Linked DNA regions of Rhinolophus ferrumequinum. The protein of the gene in region 1 interacts with the protein of each later gene in a pairwise test. Links are inferred from orthologs where the notes say so. Each region holds a gene or a part of one and is shown in the gene's direction. Other genes may lie near its edges. The genes, in order: TOP1 and BTBD2.

Region 1 (8,203 bases):
TGCTATCCTTTATCCCAAAGCACTTGTCATAGTAAGTGGCGATTCCTTGTTCTCATGTCTGTCCCACCTGTCAGGCCCTTGAAGGCAGGGACTTTGTCTAATTCTCTGTTGAATCCCTAGCACAAGGCATAGTACTTGGCCCATGGTGTGTGTGTGTGTGTATGTGTGATGTAGAGAAGCCATTGAAGGGGCAGATGCAATGAGAACCTTGGGGAAGGACACAGACTCTCAGAGGTAGCAGCCATGACAGGGATACGGAGGACAGGAGCAACTCAAGAGGCTCCAAGGCTTTGAGCCAGTGTGACTGGGAGCGGGTAGATCTATTCACCAAGCAAAGATGGTAGAAGGGAAAGGTAGGTTCAAGGACAAACTTGAACTCAGGAGCAGAGGAATGTGAGGGCCATCAAGTAGACCTACGCATTGGGCAGAGGGGTAGATATTTCTGTGTCTCCAAAAAGAAGTCAAGGCTAGAGACATCCATTTGAGAGGCTGTATCTACAGAAGTCAATAGAGAATCCATAAAGCTTCCAAGAGGAGGGTGTAGAGAGAGAAGGTGGATGAGATAAGCTTTGGGAATGCTTACATTGTGCCGGAAGAAGAGGAGGAGGCAGAAAAAATGGCTTTTGCAGAGGTAGGAGGAAAACCAAGAGAATTCGTGGTCATTGGAGTCAAATGAAAAGGACCCAAGGAATGCCCCTATCCACATCACTAAGTGCTGCAGAAAGGTGGAGGAGAATAAGGCTACTCTATTTGGAAACTGGGCAGTCTCTGATTAGCCTGGAAGTCACAGGTGGCCAGTTGGCTCAACGGTTGGAGCGCGGTGCTCATAACACCAAGGTTGCCGATTCGATTCCCACATGGACCAGTGAGCTGTGCCCTCCACAATTAGACTGAAAACAACAACTTGACTTGGAGCTGAGCTGCGGCCCCCACAACTAGATTGAAAAAAGCAACAAATAAATGACTTGACATGGAGCTGATGGGTCTTGGAAAAACACGCTTCCCCAATATTCCTCAATAAAAAAATAAGAAGAAGAATGGAAGCTACATCAACTGTGATCAAAAGATAGCACATTAGACAGGAAAGGCAGCACATGTGACTATCCTTTCCAAATATTTCAAAGAAGGTGAGGGAAACTGGCTGAAGGACAATTTGGGAGGCAGCACAGACATTCAGAGACCGGGCTCCACAGTCAAACTGCTTGGGTTCAAATCATAGCCCCAACACTCAATAGCTGTGTGACTTTGGGCAAGTTAACTTAGTCTTCTTACATCTCAGTTTTCTGGTCTGTAAAATGGTGGAACTAGTAGTACCTGCTTCATATGGTTATTGTGAAATACTGTAGGTGAAGCACTTAGGACAAGGCAGAGCTCGTGGTAGGTAATCAATTAATGTGAAGTGTTATTTTTAATAAGGTCAAGGGGGGACATTGGGAGAGGGAGCGAGTGCTGAAGTTGCTATGCAGGAGGAAGAGAAGAGGCTGGCGTAAGCCTGGCTCCGGGGAGGTGAAGAGGACGGGATTAAGGCCTCAGAGGGCTTGTTGGGGATACAAGGAGGTAGATCTTTTCAAAACCTGAACTTGGCTAATCTGTCACCTGCTGGTTATTAAGTGAGTCTGTGACTTCTGTTCCATTTTCTTAGGGAGTCATGCTGAGTCAGCTTGGGGTTTCTCTCACTCCCAGAATTTTCCAGTATTTCTTGGAGTCTCAATTCCTGCTTCTTTGCTTCCCCTGCCCACTGGTTCTCGAGGTGAAGGCAGCTGGATCTGAGTAGCAGCAGGACATGCTAGCAGCATACCCTGTGAAAGGGAGATTCAGAGAGAGCTGCTGTCATAACTTGTCCTTGGGCTGTACCCTGGACACCGGACAATATCCTCTGTCCCCTTGACAGTCTGCATCTGCACAGTAATTCCATGGTTAGTGATGCTTCTGTAATACCTGTAATGGTCTCCATGGGCTTCCTGACGAATCTGCCCGTCTCCAGTGTGAGCTCTGCTGCCCATGGTTGTCCTCAGACCTGCTCGAAACCCTGGCAGAGCTCACCCTGCAGCAGCTGCTCTCCTTCTCTGGTGTATCCTCACAGTTCCCTCTGCTCTATCCTGACCAAAGCTATTCACGCCCGTGACTCGGCCTTTGCATCGGTTACTCTTCTTCTTGCAGTGTCTTGCTTTTCTTTCCACAGGCCATTCTTTCCAGAATAGCATCGAACTAGAAGCCTTTGCTAATATTGCCCCCGCCACCACCACTGGTGAGTTGGATGTGCCTCCTCCATCCCAGTGTTACCATAGCAACTGGTAGCTGGCCACCTCTTCCCTGTTATTCCTTGTACCTTATGGTAGCAGTTGGGGAATGTCTGTGTTGTTATCAGACTAGGAGCTCCTCTAAAATGATGATTAGGTCTTATTAAAATCTGTATCCACAGGGTAGATAGCACCTATCAACCACAATAGTTCCCACTCCCTCATTCCTCAGGGGATACGGGTGGAATAAATAAACGTCCTCATCACAGAAAGGATGTCTTCTGAAAGGAAGACAGAAGTACATGAAAGTGGACTCCCCTCCTTGCCCCAGGCCACATGGCCAGGCTCCTACATCCTTGTTGCCTGTGCTCTTATTCCATGACTCAAGGGTCGCCAGCTTTCCTGCTGGTTCTCTTCTTTTCATTTTACAGATCTCAACCTTTGCTCAGCTGTTTAATTACCAGCAGGCAAAGGGTGTTTCTGGTTGTTACTGGGGTTGCCAGCCTGATTCCCCTTTCTGGGGTGTCAAACAGGTTCTTTTCTGAGGGTGTCCAAATCTCAAAAGAGCGGCAGGTCCTTAGGCAAGGTACCACAGGAAGGGAGAACCACCAGAAGACACTGCTGCCCCCAAACTGGCAAAGCAGAGACTGTGCCAGTATCCAGGGTCTAAATGCCAGGAGGGGCGTCCAGGTGTCATAACATGAGAGACGGGGCAGGGCCACAGGAGTAATAGAAGCCTTGAGACTGCCCGGGAATCAAGTGTAACTTAGAATTGAGTGTCATTTAGCGCTCTTGGTCTTAAGCGACACATCAGAACTCCATTAAGCAAAGTGGGGGATTTATTTAAAGGCACAGGAACAGGAGTGAAATAAGGCTTCAGGGGATACTACCTAGCCACCAGGACCCTGAACTCCATCAGGGCCTTCTGTTCTCTTTTTTCCTTCACTTGCTGATCGCACATCTCTTCTGTAGGCTCTGTTGCTGAGTGCTGAGGATCAAGTGCTAACTAAGCAAGATCCCCACCCTTCAGTAAGGGAGGCAGACACAAAAATCACTAATCACCCCCATTAATAAATTGTAATAAATGTTACAAAGGCAAAGGACACTCCATGAGGGGCACTTTAGCTGGGTGTAGGGGGGTGTCCCTTTGAGAAAGTGATATTAAGGTTGAATTTTGAAGTATTCACAAAGATTAACCCCAAAGTGTTTACTACTAGATGTGATAGAAATGATTTCGATGGTCCATGGATGAACACTTTCTGTATTTATTTGTAAATGATTTCATAGACATTCTTTCATAGATATTATTATTTAGGATGAAGAAGGAGAGTGATTCAAATAAGTAACAATACCAGTGGAAGTGGTAATAGATATGGCAAAATTCACAACAGTCACACTTGAATTAAGCATGTTATGCTGGGCCTTGGTGGCCGCTGTAAGAATTTTGAACTTTATGCTAAGTGACGGGAAGTATTGTGGGAAGGTATAATGGTTAGATCTGTGTGTTGAAAAGATCACTTTGGGTACTGTTGGCCAGCAGTTTGTGAGAGGGCCAGAACAGAAGCAGGCACCCCTGTGAGGAGTATATTTTAATAATCTAAGCAAGAAATAATGCCTACTTGGACAGGTGTGTGGGCAGGGGAGAAAGGTAGACAGGTTGAAAAGGTGCAATCAGCTGGACTAATGAGAAATGAGGGAGCGGAAGCTGTCCAGGGTGGAGCTTTTCTAGCTGGGCGGAGGAGGAGGAAGATGGTGAGTTCAGCCCTGGAGAAGCTTGAGAGGTATCCAAGTGTAGATGTCAGGTAGGTGGTTGTAGGTCACTTATCTCTGACACAGTTTATCTTTAGTAAAATAGGTGACCTCACAGAGCGAGTGTGAATATTCTGACTGGAGTATGTTCAGCACAGATGTTCCATACACGGCAGTTCTGTTCCCCTTTGCCCCACAGCATGTTAGTGATCCAGCGGTAGACAGAGCCAAGTCGTGTTTACCCCGAGGTCTGGTTCCCTTTGGCCCCTTGCGCCTCCTCCCCCTTTCTCAGCACCGTTCCTGGCTCACATCAGATGCTCAATGTAGAAGGAACGAGTGAAATTAGGCCTCTGGAGGTGACCCAGGGTTACATATACCCAGCCGAAAACTAGAGCTGAACCAGACCTTGGGTTAGTTGTAAAATGCAAATAAATTTTAGGAAATGGGCAGGAAATAAGACAGAAGTTGGAAGGCCTGGACAAAGGCTGGGGCGGAGGCTCCCCTCCGGCAAAGCGGTTTCGGGGTTTGGTTGGCGAGCGAGGAATCGCTGGTGAGAGCTCTGGGGCCTCGGCCGCCAAGGTAGCGGCAGATCCCGGGAGACGCAGGAGCAGAACACCAGCTCCGCCTGGGCCTGGTCCCGCCGCCGCCTTTAAAGGCCCACCACGTGGCCGCGCTACCAGCCCGGGTTCGGAGGCGGTGTCCAGACTGCGCCTGCGTTCTGCGTAGCAGAGGCGACCTGGGTTCCGAGAAAAGGAGCGGGGAGAGGAAGGGGAGGATGCTCGGGGTAGGCGGCCTTGGGAGGAGTCAGCTCCCTATGCAAATCCTAGCGTCGCGCGTGGGCTGGGGGCGGGGCTTTCGATGCAAAGCCAGGTCCGCCTTTGGAAACGCGAGGGGGCGGGCCCCGCAACCCTCGGCTTCTTTCTGGGAGGCTCTGACGTCGCCGACGTCCCGTTTAAAACCGGCGGCGCAGGCGCAGTGAGCCGAAATGCGAACTTAGGCTGTTACACAACTGCTGGGGTCTGCTCTCGCCGCCCGCCTGGCAGTCAGTAAGCGTCGCCGCCGCTGTCGCTGCCTCTGCGGTTCCGGGAGTGTCAGACTCGCCGCCGCCGCCGCCGCTCACCCGCGTTCCCGGGAGCCCCCGAGAGCTCCCGTCCCCCCGCACAGGCCGGTCCCGACGGTCTGCGTCTCCTCGGCGCCCCTTGCCGCCCGCCTCGCTCGGCGCTCCGGCAGACATGAGTGGGGACCATCTCCACAACGATTCCCAGGTACAACCCGACCTCCTGGCCCCGCCTTGGCCCTCCGCGACCCCGGCCACGGCCCTGCCGCCTTGACAGGCCGGAGCCCCCGGCCAGGGGCGGCCGGCCAGAGGAGATCAGCTTGCTAGGCCCCGGGCGAAAGCCCCGAAGTTACAGTTTGGGGGGGATGGCTGCCTCTTCGGGCCGTTCCCGGGGCCCCCTTCATCCCTGGGGGCGCACCGTGGGCTAGGCCGCCGGCCGCGCGCGCTCGCCGCCGGCGGGGTTAATATGCCTGTTGTTTCATATTCCTTCTTTTTCTCTCTCCAGATCGAAGCGGATTTCCGATTGAATGGTGAGTGTGCCCTCCGCTCTGACCCCGGGTCCCCCAGCTGCCGGCCGCCTACCCCGCGCCCGGCCGGAGCCGGGCAGAGGACAGACATGGCGTCCCAGAGACTAAGTCCCGGCTCCTCGCTCACCGGCCCCATTGTTCCCATCGGGCGGCCTCTGGACCCCCTTTCCGGGGATCCCAGCCCCCCCAGATCGCGGCTCTCCCGAGAGGGGGCAACGGAGACCCTATGTCGCTTGCCACCGGGCCTCGGGCAGCCTTTCCCGGCCCGGATTTCTCCCGGGAAAGTCGCCTTGTCGACAGTCGGGACTTAGTCTCTGCGCCATTTTCTTTTTCTCTCTCCTCTCCTTTCTGTGCCTGTGTCTCTTTCTCTCCCTCCCTCGGCTCCTTCCTTGAGCTGCCCAGAAAGAGCTTTCTGCAGAGCAAAGCCATGTAAATCACAGACCTCACCAGAGAGGCAAGGGTGGGAGACTGAATTGTTACTATTTTTTTCCAAAGAGAACTTTATTTTGGGGGTTATTCCCTTTCTGCTTCTTGTTTCCTTTTCTGCTTCCAGAATGAAAGCTACCCTTTGGCAGCTGTTGATTTTTTTTTTTTAAAGTAAGATGTGGGTGATAGGAATTATAGCTCTAAAACTAAAGCCACCCTTTGTTGAGCTCTTCATATTTTGAGATTGTTTTTCCTAAGTTGTGTTCTTTGCATAGGTAGTAGTACCTCCCTTCAAAAAGTTTGCAAGTTCTCTGTGGGCCATCCAATGTAAATCTTGGACTCGGGCATATTAATTACAAAAAAAAAATTATAGTGTTACTGACTAGAACTTTTCAATGTGGCTGAGGTTCCTAAGACAATGTTTTATTAGAACCCCGTGTAGTGTACTTGTCAGGAGGAAAGGTTGCTGAGCATCTCATCTGGACCTGGTGCATTGGCCCTTTCTTTTGGGCTGTGGGGAAGGAAAAAAGGATTTTATTTATTAAAACAAAGAGTGGCCGGCACCCTCCCCTACTTCCTGTTCATTCTTTTTCAGAAGCCGCTGTTTTTCAGGAATCAAGAGCTAGCTTTTCCCAGATCTTTATGCTTTTGAACCCGTTTCAGCCAAATCAAGGCGTTTATTCTCTGAATGTTTCCACTTCAGTTACCCAGCAAAAATTCCTCCAATAAAAAGCTCACTCTGCAGGCTTTTCAGTAACCTGGGTGAAGGAGAAGGTACCCTCTGTAGTGTGCTGGGAATTCCCACTGATTCTGATGGTACATAATCCTACTCAGTTGAGTTTGGGTTCTGGGAACCTCTCCAGTGGGAGAAGCTGATGAGTAGGTTTTCATGTTGTAATCAGCAGTATATCATGTTAGCCTGCTCTACTGAAGGAGCAGCCTGATGTTCAGATTTTGAAGTGGGGCATCCAGCATGAGATGGTACTCTGTGAGGAGGGAATCTGGTTAAAGAAAAGTGTAGCATTTCTTGAGCACCTAATATGTGCCAAACACATGTTTAGTGCTAGAGCAAACCTTCGGCCACAGTGCTGCTCTTGCCTTCAATCCAGTCTACTGGGGGAGATATAATTAGTTAATTATAAGGTAGGTGCCGGGGCATATGTATACCCAAAATGCTTTGGGAGACTAGGGGACTTTAATTTTGTCTGGGGGGTGGGGAAATTTCTCAGGAGGTGACTTCTGAGCTGGGTGTTATGCAAGAATAGGTGCTAAGTGTCAGGGATTGGAGTATTTCTTAACTATGTTTAGCCAACCTGTCAGGATTTTAAGAGAGGGAGATGAGGCTCCTGCAGTAAGAAAACTGCGAAGAGTATAAATATGTTTGCCTGGGATGTGGAAGCAAAGAGAGGATGTGGCAGGTGAGGATGTAAGAAGTCCTTTTGATCTCTCTTGAAGGAAGGTAGGATCTTAATACAGAAAAGAAGTGTTCTTTTGACTTGAAGACTGGGCTGAGTAGGCAATGTATTTAGTAATGAAACAAAGTTTAGGCCATTCTCAGCAAGTTAACCTCCATTCATGGTTTTCATCTCAATTACACAAAGAAACTATTGAATATTTGAATGGTTGTGGGCTGGATAGGTTATTGCTCTTTAGTGCTGTTTTTAATAGACTGAAGTAAACTGGCTATATTGACTTTTAGAATGTGTTTGTTCACGTGGAATAGCAATAATTGCTAATATTTATTGAATCCTGTCTGCCAGGCACAAATCCTAGCTCTTTCCATGGACCATCTAATTTAATTTAACCCTCAGAAGGATTCTTCTGAGTTTTAGGTACTATTATCTCTATTTTATAGATGAGGAAACTGAGGCTTAGGCGTATTTACTAGCTTGCCCAAAGGCAGTGAGTGGGGCACTCCAAAGCTCACAAGCTTAGCTACTGTGCTACCGTGTTTCCCCGAAAATAAGACTTAGCCAGACCATCAGCTCTAATGCATCTTTTGGAGCAAAAATTAATATAAGACCCAGTTTTTTTTACTGTATTGTTTTACTATAATATAAGACTGGGTCTTATGTAATATAAGACCAAGTATTGTATTAATTTTTGCTCCAAAAGACGCATTAGACCTGATGGTCTGGCTAGGTCTTATCTTCCGGGAAACACGGTATATATATGATTCTGATGTAAAGAAGTTGGAAGCTGCA
Region 2 (7,525 bases), on another chromosome or scaffold:
TCCGGCTGTCCCAGCATCATTTATTGACCAGATTGTCCTTTCTCCACTGCTCTGCACTACTTCCTCTATTGTAAATCAACCCTCTAGATGTGAATATGGTCTGTCTTGGGCTCCTGATCTATCTATTCGTCTGTACTTTAGCCCCTTTCTAAATGACTGTAGCTGTTTGAGAAGTCCTGATAGCAGTATTGTGTGTGAAGAGAATCCAGCACGTGTGATGGTTCTGTTCCCCATCAGTGGTACATCTCAGGGTCTCAACACCATCAGTAACTTTGCCTGAATCAATAATTTCATGAAGAGTTCCAAACTCTTGGGCATATCACCTGCTTCACCAGCCTTCGAGCCTGGAAGCCCTCCAACTTCAGAATGAGTTGTGATGCAACCCGGTGGGGCCCAAGCAGGCTGTGTGCATTTTGATCTCAACTTGCCACCATGTACAAATTCCACTGTGGGTGGGTGGCTTCTGGGACTGCTGGGTCTGTTCATAAAATCTCCAGACATTGAATGGCTTCCATTGTTTTCCCTGGTCTCATACAGTGAACTGCTTAGAGCTGACTTCCCCGATCCTCCATTACCAAGTAAGAACTGATAGTTGAAAGCTACCCAGTGAGATGTGTCAGGAGAAAGCACACCAACAGTGACCGTAAACTTAAACAACGGAATCAAAGGAGTAGGGTGGGTTGTGCAGAGACCACAAATTTCTCCCATTCTAATATTGTGCCTCTTTGCAATAGGACTTTGAGGCTCCTCCCATCCAGAGGGGGAGTCTGTCTCTCCACCACTGTGAATCTAGGCATGGCCATGTGACTTGCTTTGACTTATAGAATGTAGCAGAAGTGAGATGTGGGAGTTCTCCTGCCATGATGTAAGGAAGCCAGTGTAGGTTCTTGGAGGCTGGGAGGCTCCATGGAGAACTGAGATCTCCCAGCCCACAGCCAGCATCCATTGCCCAATATGCCAGTGAGGCCACCTTGGACCTTTCAGCCCAGCCCACTTAACCCTCCAGGTGTCTGTGGTCTCATAGGTTACTCTAGGTAAGAGCAACAGAGGAAATGCCCAGCCAACCTACGCATAGAATCATAAAGATGATTGTCCATACACTGTGGTGGGCAGGATAATGGCCCCCAAAGATGTCCACGCCCTAGTCCCCAGAAGCTGTGAATATGTTACATTATATGGCAAAGGGGCTTTGCATATGGGATGAAGTTAAGCATACTGAGATGGGGGAATTATCCTGGATTCCCCAGGGGGCCCAGTGTCATCACAAGGGTCCTTGTAAGAGGGAGGCAGGAGGGTCAGTCAGAGAAAAAGATGTGACCATGGAAGCAGAAATCAAACCAAGGAAAGCAGCCACCTCTAGAAGGTGGAAAAGGCAGGAAATGGTTCTTGCTGGAGCCTCCAGAAGGCACCAGCCCTGCCCACACCTGGGTTTTAGCCCAATGAGACCCATTTCAGACTCCTGACATCCAAAACAGTGCAATAATACATCTATGCTGTTTTAAGCCTCTACATTTGTGAAAATTTGTTACAACAGCTGTAGGAAACTAATACACACCTCCAGAAAGTTCTCTCCTGTCCCTTCCCAGTCAGACCCTCCCTGCCTGCTCTTAGAGTGAAGCGTCTAAATCTGTAGGTGGTTTTGCTCTGTGCTCATAGATAACTGAAACTACTCACCAGGCAACTGTTTATATACATAATCATACAACCTCAGAGCTTATTATAAGGGAGGTGAGCACTCAGTCACTTCCGTGTCTGTTGTTAGCAAGAGGTGTTCAAAGGTGGCCACCAGGGCCAATTGCATCAATTACATGCCTTTAGCCATGAGTAAAAGAAAACCTGACTCTACTTGCTTAACTCCATAAAGATGTTTATTAGCTCAGAGACCAAACAGCCCCAAGCCATGGCAGCCTCTAGGCTCAGGATGATCAAGACAATCAATGTCATTCCAGACCCAGATCCCTTCCCTTTCCCTACTCTGCCATTCAGGGGATCGTTCTGCAGAAACCTGTCCTGGAATCCCCCATCCTGCAGACTTGTCCTCTCACCTCATTGGCCAGGATTGGTCACATGCCTGGTCTGAACCCAGCAGCTGGGCCATCATTGATGCCGCGAGAGCTGCATCTTAGATCTTATTTTCCAACTAGTAGTTATTTTAGATACTGTTTATATGACTATTATGGTCTGGACTTAAATTTTATGTTGACAGATAAAACGAATGAGAAATTACACAAGTTATAGCCAGGATCTTCAGAAACTTAATGTGGTTCACCAGATGATGAAAGAAAATGGTAAAATAACTTACCCTGCAAACCTTTTCTGTATAGGGCCACAGAGTAAATTTTTTGGTTTTGACCGCCATATCATCTCTGAAGCAACTACTCAGATTTGCCTCAGAAGCTGGAAAGCAGCGTAGACAACATGCAAATAAATGGGCATAGCTGCATGTCAATAAAACTTTCTTTAAATCAACAGGTGGTGGGCCGGGTCAGGCATAGTTACTGAGGACACCTGTTAAGGAGTAGTGTTAGAGATGAACTGGAAACAACACTATGAACTCGCAATCTCTAAAACTTCCCATTTCTATCAGACCACTGAAGTAGACTTTAATCAGTTTTCCACCAAAAATTTATGTGCAATATTATGTCCAATATCCAAAACGTGGTCATCAGTACTTTCCCCCACCCCAAGGAATGAGGGCTCTTTGGAGAATAGGTGGTTTTATGTTTCAGGGCAAAGAAGGTACAACATGGGATAGAATCTCTCATCAGCAGGCAAGGATGCTTCTCCAAGTCCCAGGGGTTGTGGAAATAAGCAGAAGCCCAGCTAAAGGTATCCTTCAGCGATAATGATTACAGGGAATTAAAACGACCAGAGTCTGAAGGCCGTGAATCCATTATCCTCAAAAGGCAAGAATCGGGATGTTCATTTTCTCTCTCTTTTTTTTTAATTGGGGAATATTGGGGGAACAGTGTGTTTTTCCAGGACCCATCAGCTCCAAGTCAAGTTTTTTTTTCTTTTTTCAATCTAGTTGTGGAGGGTGCAGCTCATTGGCCCATGTGGGAATCGAACCGGCGAACTGGGTGTTATGAGCACTGTGCTCTAACCAACTGAGCCAGCCAGCCACCCCAGGATGTTCATTCTTTATCGAGTCACTAGTATTATATCCACCCATGATTTTATTCGGATGAACCATTTTTCAGCATTAGCCACATAAAAAGGCTGATATCCTTTTACCAAATGATACATATTCAAGTGATCCCAACTATATGAAAAGACTCTACTCTGTAAAACATGAAGCAAAACAAAACAAAACACACACACACACACACACACACACAAAAGAGACAAAGAATACACTGAAGTGTTAACACTAGCTGTTTATGGATAGCAGGATGACATACGATATTAATTTGCTTTCCTGTGTTTCTCTGGCATTTCCAAGTTCCTGCCTTTATTTTTCATGCACCTATTGTGTGACCGGCTGGAAAGAGTTGAACCAGGATCCGCAGGGCTGTGTCCTGGACGTGGCCCCAAGCTCTGCCCTGTATACCTGTTGAGTCTTGGATGAAAAGAGCATCCCGACGCATTCAGCCACAACTTCCCGGGGCCTCAGTTTGACCCCTCTGTACAGTGGGGTCTCCTCCACTGGGCATGGAGACCATCAGGGCTGGAGGCTAAGGGCTGGGGTCCAGGATCCCAGGTGTGGGGTTTGGACTCTGGGGTCCAAGGCCCAGGACTCAAGGTCTGGGGTAGGGTCTGGATTTGGGATTTGGGGATCTGGGTCAGAGATTGGGCTGTGGGGTCCAGGGAACTGGGTTCAGTGTTTGGGGTTGGGGTCTAATGTGTGAAGTCCGGAATCTGGTGTCTGGAGTTTGGAATCTGGAGCCTGGGCTCTGAGGCCTGAGGTCTGGAATGTAGGATCTGATGTCTGGGTTATGGAGGCTGGGGTGAAGACTGGGATCTGAGGTTTGGGGCCCCTGGGTCTGAGGATCTAGGATCTGGGTCTGGTGATCCGGGATCTAAGGTCCAGTGTCTGGAGCCTAGGTCTGAAGTACCGGGTCTGGGATCTGGGATCTGATGTCTGGGGCCTGCGTCTGAGGATTTAGGATCTGGGGTCCAAGGTCTGAGGTCCCGGACCTGGGGTCCAGGATTCGGGATCCGAGGTTTGGAGTCTCTAAAGTCCGCGGTCTGAAGTAGGAGATCTAGCATGTTGGGTCCTAGGTCTGACGTCTGAGGTCTGTGATCTGGGGCCCGCGGTCTATGGTCTGCGCCGCGCCCTTTCCCTCGTCCCTTCTTCCATCCTCCCTCCCTCTCTCCTCTCCTGCCCCGCAGCCCCTACTTCCGTCCTCCCCGTTCCCCTCCCCTGTCCCCGCTCCTCGTCCTCCGTGACCCCCTCCCTTTTCTCCCCATGCCCTTCCTCTCGCCCCTCCCTCCTCCCTCGCCCCTCCCCTTCCCTCCCTGTCAGCCCCGCCCGCTCCGCCAGCCCCGCCCGCCCCGCGGCGCCGCACCGACAAGATGGCGGCGGGTGGGAGCGGCGGCCGCGCATCGTGCCCGCCGGCGGTCGGTGCGGGCGCGGGGGGCGGCCCGGGTCCCAGTGCCAACGCCGCCCCCGCCCCCGGCAACGCGGCTGCGGCCGCCGGCCCGGTCCCCGCCGCCCCCGGGACGTCCTCTCCGGGCTCAGGGCCGGGCGCACAGGCCGCACCGGGAGGGGAGCGGGCGGCCGAGGAGCCGGGGGCGGCGGCGCTGCTGCGCGAGCCCGTGTACAACTGGCAGGCCACCAAGCCCACGGTGCAGGAGCGCTTCGCCTTCCTCTTCAACAACGAGGTGCTGTGCGACGTGCACTTCCTGGTGGGCAAGGGGCTCGGCGCGCAGCGCATCCCGGCGCACAGGTGGGCCGCGCCCGCTCCCGGGCCCCCGGGCTCCGGGACCCCATCCCCCGGGCCCGCCATCCCTGGACCCCCTTCCCTGGGACCCCGCCATCCTGGTACCCGCCATCCCCGTTATCCGCAGCCCTCGGACCCTCCAGTATCCCAGGGCACCCCCTTCCCCAGGCCCCATTATCTCCGGGCCCTGTGGTCCTGCTGGAGCCCCATCCATCCCGCAGCCCCCAGATACTAGCCATTCCCTGGCCCCTGGACCCCCGCCCGTCCACCGCCATCGGACACCCTCCACCCTGCCACTCTTGCCAGAATCTCCAGGCCCTGCGAACCCCACCAGTTTTCTCCACCCTGGGCCCTGCCATCCTGCCCCATTGACCCCCTCCACTAAGTAACCCGTGCTCTCCAGGCCTGCATGACCCCTACATCCCCACCAGACTCCTGCCTCGCAAACCCAGGACTCCCCAGACTCCCGAACCACATAGCCCCCAGCCCCCTGACTCCCCAGCCCCCTGACTCCCCAGCCCCCTGAACCCGCAGCCCACTGACCCTCCTCCAACCTTCTCACCCTCCTGCCCCTCCCCCAGTCCTTGACACTCCCCAGTCCCTTCACCCCCTAACCCCCAGGCTTCCTCTTCGGGCACTGTTGCTCCAGGCCCCATCCCTCTGCCAGTTTCTAGGGTGCAGCCCCAGACTCCTGGGCTGGGTGAGCTGTTGTCAGACACTGGCCTGCCCACTCCGTGACCCTGCTCCCCGTTGCACCCCAGGGACCTTGGTGGGGAAGGCTCGCTGAGGGCTCCACCCTGGAAGGGGAGGGGGGGGTTCTTGGCTCTGCTTGGAGTGTCCCCCAACCTGCTGTGAGGGTCCTCCCGCCTCTCTGGCCTGTGGCCTTTAACCTGTGTCTTTTGACAGTCTTTGTGGCTTTTTCTTGGTTATTTATGTACAATTGCGTCTGGCTTCCTTTCCGCAGAAGGTTCCAGGCCTGTGGTTGGGTCCCCAGGACCTCCCCTGACTCCTCCTTCCCCGGTGTGTGTGCAGCCCTGTCCCCTGTCACCCATGGGGGCCACCTTCCTAAGCTTGGAGTAGGGGGCTGGTCCGTTTGCCACCTACCAGTCCCTCCTGAACCATCGGCCTCCCTCACCCCTCCCGTTCTCAAACGCTGCTCAGTCCAGTGTGGGCTCTCCTGCCCACCCGACCCCTGACTGGAGCCCTCACCGGGCAGGTGGATACGACTGGAAACCCCACCCAGTGAGGGAACGTCAGGGTTTCTACTTGAGGGGAGCAAGGGAGTTGGTGGGGGCCTCCCTGGATGCCGGCTGACCTTGAGATACATACTCCATCATGCTTCAAGGTCCATTGGCTGGTGGCAAAGTGGGGATAAGAAAGGTGGATGAGAGCACCCCCGGAAAGAAGCAGAAGAGGGGCCTGGCTCTGGTGAGAGGTGGAGGTTAAGTGAGGAAGGATGCGTGTGACATTTAGTGAGAATTTCTGAGTGCAGGAGGGAGACAGGGCCCCGGGTAATGACAGGGCTGACCTGCTCCAGACGGACACCTCTGAGCAAGTGGCACCTCTGAGCAAGTGGCGCTGAGCAGAGCAGGGGAAGGGGAGGGGAGTGCAGGGATGTGAGGCCTGGAGAGCAGAGGGGTGGGCAAGTGGGAGCCACAGCAAGGCCAGAGCAGAGGGAGCAAAGGGCCCTGTGGGCCACAGTGACCTCTTGTGCTTTGAAGGCTGGAATGGGCCACAGACATTACGGGAGATGATGGGCTTAGTGGGGGCAGCAGAATTGGGAAGCAGAGGGTTCAGCTTCTCTGGGGATGGTACTTCTCTGTGATGTGAGGAGGTAGCTTGGCAGGTGAGGGAAAATGGGACCAGGCGGAAGTTCCTGGACTCCTGGCTTGAGCATCCCAGGGGAGGACAGGCATGGAAGTACATGTTGTGTGGGGGGGGCTGAGACACCCCAGAGAGATGGCTGGAAACAGTATGACCAGAGGGACGTGTGACGGGTCGGCAGCATGCAGGGGTCCGTACTGGTGGGAGTGTGTGGGGTAGCCTGGGGGCAGCGTGTGGACAAAAGGGCGCTTAGGAATGGCAGCAAGGAGCCACCCCGAAATGGGGTATGGGGTGCAGGCTCTTCTGGGTGTGGGGGTGCGTGCCTGCACCCCAACGTTCACCATCAGACTGGCCCACCTCTGGACCTGTCACTTTCTTGTGCTTGTAGCTTCATGAGTCCCATGTCCCCTGATGGCGCTCTGCCTGGTTCCCTTAGCACACCTCGCAGGTCCCTGCACCCATCAGTTGTCTCCCTGTGTGCTTAATGTCCAGAGAGTGTCTGGGGCCAGGCTGATGGCACTTTTCTTGTCCCATTTCCCTGGTGTTGATGCCCTACTCTGGATCCCCCAATAGAAGGTTCAAATTCTTTTTATTTTTAGCCTTTGGGTTATAATTTCATATGAATTGTGAAAAATTTACCTGTAATGGTCAGGTGGATGACTGTCCAGTGAGTGACCCTGGGTTTGCTGTGTCTCAGTTTCCCTGCCTGTGGACTGGGACATACCACTCAGACGCCTCAGTCCTGGGGCTGCTGGGAAGATCGACTCCATGACTCAGGGCTCCTCCAGAGGACCAGGAGCTTAGATAAAGATGGGGAC

Evidence for each region.
Region 2: the proteins of TOP1 (region 1) and BTBD2 interact in a two-hybrid assay, tested with the Homo sapiens proteins (2 studies listed by BioGRID). The link is inferred for Rhinolophus ferrumequinum from reciprocal best matches to the Homo sapiens genes TOP1 and BTBD2.

What each region holds. Positions count from the first base shown.
Region 1 is NC_046306.1:15,753,794-15,761,996, reverse strand, and holds the start of TOP1 (DNA topoisomerase 1), read left to right. Parts: upstream 1-4,952; 5' UTR 4,953-5,221; coding exon 5,222-5,254; intron 5,255-5,551; coding exon 5,552-5,576; intron 5,577-8,203. UniProt on the Homo sapiens protein: Releases the supercoiling and torsional tension of DNA introduced during the DNA replication and transcription by transiently cleaving and rejoining one strand of the DNA duplex.
Region 2 is NC_046301.1:61,199,998-61,207,522, forward strand, and holds the start of BTBD2 (BTB/POZ domain-containing protein 2), read left to right. Parts: upstream 1-4,506; 5' UTR 4,507-4,515; coding exon 4,516-4,889; intron 4,890-7,525.